Linked DNA regions of Yarrowia lipolytica. The protein of the gene in region 1 interacts with the protein of each later gene in a pairwise test. Links are inferred from orthologs where the notes say so. Each region holds a gene or a part of one and is shown on either strand. Other genes may lie near its edges. The genes, in order: YALI1_B27777g and YALI1_D36137g.

Region 1 (5,095 bases):
ACGTGAACAGACCAACGAGAGAGACGAGCACAGACAGCCAGGCGGGCTGAGAAGCACCGTCGCTCTGAGTAGGCTTGATCAGAGGCTCGTTCATGAAGGCGGTGATGGCGGTGAAGAGAGCGGTCCACGACATGAGCTTGTTTCGAAGGAACATAGCAGCCATGGGCAGCGAGGTGGTGATGAAGGACTGAGCGTCGTTCTGCTTGTCGACAACATGCACGTAGGGCACACAAAGATCGGCTCGTCGTTTGTCAGACATCTTTTTTGTCTTTTTTGTGTGTGTTGATGAATGAATCAATGGAGAAAATTGAGTTTCGACGACCGGTGATGATATGAGGTGTTGGAAGTTAAAGTCGTGGGATGAAGAATGAAAAATTAGCCGGGGAATTGTAGGATGAAGTAGGGATATTTGTGGGTACTTTATTATATTAATCTGATCTATTTTTTTCGGTGCGAATTCAATGGCCACATGACTATATCTCCACTTATCTGTGCGCCATATTATAGTCTACATCTCTAGCTTATGTAATCTATCACATACATTTTACGACAGTTATACTGCAACGCAGTATACCGATTGAAACTGAATTCCTTGCAACACAGTATAGATTATTATCCCTCTATTATTGTTATACCACTTAAACCACCTGACCAAACTTGTCAAAGGTAAACTGTTCCTGGACCTGCTGGCCGTTGACAGAGAATCCCAGCCGGACTCGCAACTTGACGGCAGCACCAGCACCCTGTACCGTCACTCGCAACTGCTGAGTGGTGGTGCTGCCAGGACCAATGCTCTGGGAAGCTGGTGGCTGCAGAGCGAGCTTCTGTGTCTTGGGCACAGCGGCCTGGAGGGAAATGCTGGAGATGGGGCTGCCACCGGTGTTGGAGAAGTGGGCGGTGATGGGCACCGTGAGGCCCTGGGCGGTTCCAGCGGAAAAGCCCAGAGACAGGCCGTTGCCGGAGTATGCGGAGATTGTAGATGCCGCAGCAGCGGGGGCTGAGGCGGGTGTGGAGACGGGGGATGACTGGGCGCCTGAGCCAAACAGATCCATAATGTTTTGATTGGAGCTAGGGGTGGCGACGGACGCACCTCCAGAGGGAGAAGAGGGTCCCAGAATGTCGGCCAGGAGATCCGAGTTGTTTGCGGAAGAAGATCCTCCTCCGTTAGCAGGCTCAGGGGCGTCCATGACCAGATCGAGCAGCAAGTCGACATCCTTCTTGGAAGCAGTCACCTTCTTGGCCTTCTTAGGCTTGGCGTACTTCTTGCCAAGATCGTTCTTGAGCTCGGGAGCAGGCATCTTTTCAAGCACACCCTTGGCCACACCCATGTTGGAGAAAAGCTTTGTATACTCGGCAGATCGCTGCTGGACCTCCACATTGAGAGAGGAAGCGTACGACTCCAGGATTCGTCGCACCCGCTCCTTTTGTGTAGCATTGTTGATTCGGGTGCTGAGTTTAACCAGGGCGTTGACTCCGTACTCTTGCACAACATCAGAGGCGTAGGCAGACTTGAGCAGGTTCTCGATCATGGTGACAACAGACTCCTCGGATACCTCCTGGGACTCTCCATCTTCCGACGAGAAGTTGCCGGATCGAATAAGAATGTGGCCAAACTCTCCAAGCAGCCACAGCGAGGCCAGGGACAGACCCTCCTGGGTGAAATCGGCCCGCAGAGCTGAGTACAGCTTCTGGACAGTGTACAGCTGTAGCTCCTCGTCGCAGGTGACGACCAGAGCAATGAACGAAGAGACCACATTCTCTGGGACGTGACTTCCAGCCAGAGCCAGAGCCCGGACCAGAGTGTCAATATGCCATCGCTTATTAGGAGCGTATTTTTCAGCAGCAATGGCGATCTGGGCGGTGACCGAGGGTTTGAACTCGGCGTCTGCAGACTCCAAGAATGTCAGCAGCTCTCTAACAATGACTCGCACGTTGCTCTCGTTGATGAGAGCGTATGCCACGGCCAAAGCTCGTCGTCGGATAGACACGTCAGCGTCACGCAGACACTCGACAATGGTGTTTCTGTGTCGCTGCACGGCTGCGGGCTCGATGTCGATGACTGTGAGCAGAGTGTTGAGCGCCACGTACCGCGTATTGTTGTCAGTGGTGGCTAAGAACTTTCCAAGAATGTTAACACCCAGCACTCGCAGACCGGTGTCTGCCTCGACGGCGAAAATAGTTCGCACGCACTCGTACAGCACAGAGGAGCCGACGTTCTTGGCGGAGTCGGTGTTGGATGCCACCTGGGCAAGCACGTCGTTCATGGCGTCAGAGGCAGACGCGTCTCCAGCTCCCAGCACACGCAGCAGACCAAGAATCTTGACCTGCAAAAACGGATCGGTAACTCCGGTCACGTCGTGCTCGGGAGCGTAAGCCGAGGTGCACAGCTGGCGCAGCAGCTTGACAAGAGTCGGCACGACGGGTCGGAACTGCTCGAGAATCTCGTCGTCTTGGACACAAATGTCAGTGGCCAGAGTGAGTCCGCACAGCAGCACGCCGTGGTTCTTATCTGTGAGCAGAATCTTGGCCTTCTCGACGAAGATTTCTGCCAATTCAGGCACTCGACTGCTGATTCGAGCAGCACACACGGCAGCCTTCTTCTTCAGGTAGGGGTTGCTGGACGACATGATCTTGTCGACGGTCTGGAACAGATCCCGGCCCATTTCGGTGGATGCAATGTTGGCCAAGGTGGTCAGGGCCAAAGCCACAACGTATTGGTTGGGGTGGTTGAGATCGTTGGACAGAGAGTTGGTCACCAGAGTCAGGGTCTCCTGGTTCTCATCCAGCAACAGCATAGTACCGAGGTATCCCAGACGTTTCTCACTGAAGCGCGGGCTAGCAATCAGCTTCAGACACTCCACCTGACCGAAATGTGTTCGCTCACCCAAGGTGAACAAATACAACAGCTTAGCCACATTTTGTTTTCGAATGTTGGGGTCGACGTAGTTTTCTCGGAACGATGTTCGGATGGCGGCAGACTCCTTCTGGATCACCGACCGCTCCTCTGCTAGCGTCTTGGCCGCACGCACGGACTTGATGAACGATTTCAGAGACGTCATTTCTGTGGTATGTTGCCAACTGTAGATGTTGACGCAACGTGTCTTGAGATTGGGTGTAGGGTTAGGGTTGTGTATAATTGTGTGTTTGAGAATGTGGATGTGTTACGAACCAGGGGTGGTGGAGGTACTGTAGCAGGTTGATGTGACAAATAAGGCATAATTGTTGTCCATTTCTATTTACGTAACTATTTTTATTATGGATTGTGGTCGTGGAAAATACATTACGTTATGTTCAGATATGCGCGCAGCTCAGTGCGTAGTTTAGTAATTGTTTGAGGTTGTTCAAGTGGACCCTTAACGAAGGGTATGTCCATAAAGTGGGCGATTCGGACAATCCCTTGACATCTATTGCAGTAAAATTTGTGCGTATACACTTGAAAATACACTTGAACATATTTTGAAAGAAATTGAGTTACCTGGGGTTGATTTAGAGGTAGATGTTGGAGTGGAAATTATGTTACAGTATCAATTGTTCAAGTATTATGTGAGGTTTACTTTGGCACTTTGAAAAAGGCAAGGGGCAGGGGACTCCTTAATTAGTGCCAGGCGACGCGTTTTGACCCAAACATTGTATTCAAACGATAAATATGGACGATACAGGTAATTCCATCTTCATCTCCCATGTATACATTGGTGTAATCTGTTGATATGTGGTTCAGTTGTGTTTCATGAGAAGGTCATCGCTACAGAAAGCTAAATAGTAGTCTATATAGGGTGCTGGGTGAGGGCCGGTTACGGAGCACTGGAAGTGAAATGAGAAACCATTGTGATGTTTTCCCCGATGACTGGGGAGATTTTTCTTAATTGTAATCAGGTGGTATGCAAGACTTCTTAGAATCCATCAGAGAAGGGCTATGTACACACATGTGGATTCCGCTTCCAATAAATCACTTAGTAGAGAGCTGTTGAGGGCTCGCAGTCCTACTTTTGAATGCCATTGTGGATGGAACATCTTTTTTCTAATATGACTTTCTCAGTAGCAAAATTCGAAATCCCATTGCGACGTCTGACGTCCTTGTCGCAGAGCAAGTGTGCGAGACAGGGATTCTCAGGTTACCAGCCTCGGAATGGCTATCAAGAGCAAAATCATGCCTCTAGAGTCGATGGCACTTACTCTAATGATGGTAAAAACTCTTTCAACGTGAAAGACACTCTCAACTTCCTTGGCAACCATGAGGATCAACTGTGTGTGCGATGACAATGCTACCCATAACTCCTGGGGTATCTCTTCCACTGCTGGAGAAAAGAACCAGTAGTTGAAGGCTTACTAAAAGTCATTATTTGAGCCTTTTCAGCTCTCAAATCCAAGAAGAGAAGAGAGCACTTGTGCACAATTAATGAAGTTCAGATCAACTTCTATCGGCCAGCTTTCGACCAGTTGAGTAAAAGTCCAAAATGCCTGCTTCATCGTGTCAGCCCCCGTTTACGGCTGTTTAATAAAATATTTCATTTTACCATCCTTCTGTAGAGCGTATATTCAAATACATACTCTCCAAGCAACAGTTCTAAGATTGTTGTCAGTCCCTTATTGCCTCTTTCAATGGAGATCCAACACCCACACACGCTTTATCCCTGACGAATTTTGATAATTGCATATTCCCAAATGTTCTTTATGAGCTCGAACAAGTGCCAATTCCTCTCTACCCCGCCATTAAATCTCATAACCCTGCCATCCTGTAAAGCACCATACACCGGATTGAACCACAGGGTAGCCCCTCAAACTGTATATACTGCACCCCCTCTGGACTGACACAGAAAGACAGCTGACTCTGGCATCGAGGCCACTCTGTCTGTTGTCACCCGACTATTTCAAGGCGTTCGGAACTCATCTAAGTATCATGAGACAACTCCCCCGCCTCCACAACGTCTCACCCTGAATGTTAGCTCTCCTCGAACTTGAGTCTGAGGCAATATCGTGTTTCTAGGGTTAAAAAGGGCTGTGGTGAATTACGCAGTTTCTCGAGTCAAAGCGTCTCGGGAATACCTCCTCTCAGACATCCAGGGATTGAACTGTGTGTTTTTACCCCTTCCGACAG
Region 2 (3,575 bases), on another chromosome or scaffold:
TTGGACGAAAGATCCCTTTAATATATCTTTACAAGGGTTGTAAATGGACAGAATAACGCCAGCACCCTGTTGAGAGCGACCTAAATCCGTCATGGTCAGAACTTCAGAAGGTACTCCGCACTAAGGTTTGCTTGTTTGCTGGCATTGTGAAAAGCCAAAAAATGGTAAAGTAGCGGACGCGTGTCTCCACACGTTCTTCCTTCTTATACTCCTACACTTCGCTTCATATACACACATTTCACTCACCACACATACACAACATGGTACGAAACAGTGTGCGAGTGACCCGATTCGCCATTCTGGCGGTCGTGCTCATGTTCCTGCTCTACAAGCTGAGCTCCTCGTCCGTGGACATCAGCGGCATGGTATCCAACAGGACCAAGCCCGATCTGAACGAGTTCAAGACGGAGGTTGAGGAGACCAAGGACACAGTCGTCGAGCATGCCAAGGAGGCTGCCAATGACGTCAAGGAGGGCGCCGCGAAGGCCGTCGACTCCGCCCACAAGGTCGTGAACGCTGCCCCCTCTAAGTTCCAGCCCCTTACCGACTACCAGCGAGAGAACGCCACCTTTGTGACCCTGGCTCGAAACAGTGATCTGTGGGAACTGGTCGGATCTATCCGACAGGTCGAGGACCGATTCAACCACCAGTTTGCATACGACTGGGTTTTCCTTAACGACGCCGAGTTTTCCGATGAATTCAAGAAGGTGACCACCGCCATGTGCTCAGGTAAGACCCACTATGGTAAGATTGGCGAGGAGCACTGGGGATTCCCCGATTTCATTGATCAGGAGCGAGCTGCTCGAACCAGAGAGGAGATGCGACAGAAGCAGGTCATCTACGGTGACTCCATTCCCTACCGACATATGTGCCGATACGAGTCCGGCTTCTTCTGGCGACACCCTATCATGAACCAGTTCAAGTACTACTGGCGAGTCGAGCCCTCCATCAAGCTGCACTGTGACGTCAACTATGATGTGTTCAAGTTCATGCGAGAGAACAATAAGTCCTACGGTTTCACCATTTCTCTGTTTGAGTACGGCGCCACCATTGAGACTCTGTGGGAGACCACCAAGAAGTACATGCACCAGTTCCCCCAGATGGTCCACCCCAACAACCTGATGAAGTTCATTTCCGACGATAACGGAGAGACCTACAACAAGTGCCATTTCTGGTCCAACTTTGAGGTTGCTGACCTTGATCTGTGGCGAGGAGAGGCTTACTCCTCCTACTTTGACTACCTTGACCACGCTGGTGGATTTTTCTACGAGCGATGGGGTGATGCCCCTGTTCACTCCATTGGTGCTGCTCTGTTCGCCGACAAGGACTCTATCCACTACTTCGAGGACATTGGATACTTCCACAACCCTTTCAACAACTGTCCCACCACCGAGAAGATGCGACTGGATGGTCGGTGCATGTGCCAGGCCAGCGATAACTTCTCTTGGCACTCCTACTCTTGCACTGGCAAGTTCTTCGATGCTCAGGGCATGACCCGACCCGAGGGATGGGAGAAGCAGAAAAACTAAAAAGAGAAGGCTAGAGAGCGTTAACAGTAATTGCACTGGTTGTAGTTAATAGTTGAGAATTTTATTATATATAAAATAAGTGCGACAATTGTACGAGTACAAGTAATGGTGGCTGTGGATGAGCTACTTGTGATAGTAGCTACTTGTAAAAGAATCAATCGATTACATACGACCTTGTCGATTCTATTTTCTTTCAATTCTAGGGAGATACATTTCGTTCCAAAAATGCATGTGAACCGCTCGTTGTGTCATACAAATTGTACTTGTACTTGCTTATAGTATCGCGGTTGTTATAGTATGGTTTTGGGACATACACAGCCTAATTTGCATCTCTTAGCAGTCATTGAATTATGCCTAAGGAAAAAGATCACCGACAGGTAAATACCTCATCTAGTGACTTGATTTTTAATACTTCTCCCTTTTTAATCCCCTCCCTTCGCCTTTCAATAGCTCCAAGTAGCTACAAATAGTCCAACTCACGACAACTACAAGTAGCTTCACTCTGACTTCGTCGCCAATATAGTTTCATTGGGAACTGCAAGCGTGTCATCTGTCTTCACCACTCTCATCAAAGCATCTCAACACACACAACAAATGGCCATCCAATATCTGCTGTTGCTATCGCGTCAGGGCAAGGTTCGTCTGGCCAAATGGTTCACAACTCTCGGCACCCGTGAAAAGGCCAAGATCGTCAAGGAGGTTACTGCACTGGTTCTTTCCAGACGAACAAAGATGTGCAATGTCATTGAACACAAGGGTGAGTAAGATAAGGAGGACGTGACTGCGTTGGCTCGATGACTTACCAAGCGCGAGTTGGTTCACTTCTTGCTGAGCCACCGTCAGAAATTCTTCCAAGAAGAGTACCTCTACGAAACACCTCATCCACAATGAGTGCTGTGGCTTAGTTCATTGTGCTGTGAAGTGGCAAGAAGAGCGCTGCAGAGCTACACTTTCTTGGGGTCGGTAAAAATGGCTCACTGATCGCCGAGGTGTCTGATACCGAGCTATCGGAAACATTACAGCAGTAGTGACGACGCGAGAGAGAAAAGGAGCTGTGCGGCAGATGACGACAAGACTACACGACCCGTCAGAAGACTGCACAAAAGGAGTGGACAAATAAGTCACTTTGTATTGTTGATTCAATACTGCGGCAGTCTCCCAGTCCAGTGGGCAATGTTGTGTCCTCAGTGATGCACCACCACGAAAAAAGACTAACACAGAAACCAAGGTTGTTTTCAGACGTTATGCATCGCTATTTTTCATTACAGGCATCGACTCCGATGACAACGAACTAAACACTCTCGAAATCATTCACAGATACGTTGAGCAGATGGACAAGTATTACGGCAACGTGTGCGAGCTCGATATCATCTTCAACTTCCAAAAAGCATACTACATTCTCGACGAGATTGTGGTCGGAGGAGAGATCCAGGAGTCGTCGAAGCGAGAGGTTCTTAGACGAATCTCTCAGCAGGATGCTCTGGAGGCAGCCGAAAACGAGGAGGAGGGTCTGTCGAGACTATTGGCATAATTTGGGACTTTTAGAACATATGGGGTCGCGAGGTAGAATGAATGTACTCATACTAATACATGAGATGTATGTAGACAAATGGACAAATGAGTTTGGGAGCAGTCAGTTGCTCTGAAGCTCATAATATCGTCTCGGTCTCACAAATACAGTAGATTTACCCCTTTGTGTGTGTATGTGGTGAAGACCAAGTTACATAATCGGGTTAGGGTAGGACCCAAATACGGTGATTGCCGTGTTGTTAAATTACATCACAGTGCCTGTGAGAGGCACAAGTATCAAAATTGCGAGTTTCCGGTCAATTGGTCTATTAGTATTCGTCATCTATATATAATTTGCTTACTGGATGGTATGGGTGGCCTCAGCCTCCTTGAGAGTGAGCTTTCCGGAGTAGATCTCGTCGACTCGCTTGTTGATATCAGCGAAGGAGTGGAAGATGTTGTAAGGCAGAGACATCTTCTCGAGGTAGACAATCAGATCCTTGCCAGCCTTGGCGAACAGCAGATCTGTCTCCCTTG

Evidence for each region.
Region 2: the proteins of YALI1_B27777g (region 1) and YALI1_D36137g interact in binary tests that used the Saccharomyces cerevisiae proteins (3 or more experiments, as listed by UniProt). The link is inferred for Yarrowia lipolytica from reciprocal best matches to the Saccharomyces cerevisiae genes APL4 and APS1.

What each region holds. Positions count from the first base shown.
Region 1 is NC_090771.1:2,775,706-2,780,800, reverse strand, and holds YALI1_B27777g (uncharacterized protein), read right to left. Parts: upstream 3,060-5,095; coding exon 639-3,059; downstream 1-638. Other genes in the region: YALI1_B27805g (uncharacterized protein), read right to left, coding at 1-259. UniProt on the Saccharomyces cerevisiae protein: Adaptins are components of the adapter complexes which link clathrin to receptors in coated vesicles. Clathrin-associated protein complexes are believed to interact with the cytoplasmic tails of membrane proteins, leading to their selection and concentration.
Region 2 is NC_090773.1:3,612,774-3,616,348, reverse strand, and holds YALI1_D36137g (uncharacterized protein), read left to right. Parts: upstream 1-2,123; coding exon 2,124-2,286; intron 2,287-2,749; coding exon 2,750-3,060; downstream 3,061-3,575. Other genes in the region: YALI1_D36161g (uncharacterized protein), read left to right, coding at 261-1,529; YALI1_D36122g (uncharacterized protein), read right to left, coding at 3,397-3,575. UniProt on the Saccharomyces cerevisiae protein: Component of the adapter complexes which link clathrin to receptors in coated vesicles. Clathrin-associated protein complexes are believed to interact with the cytoplasmic tails of membrane proteins, leading to their selection and concentration.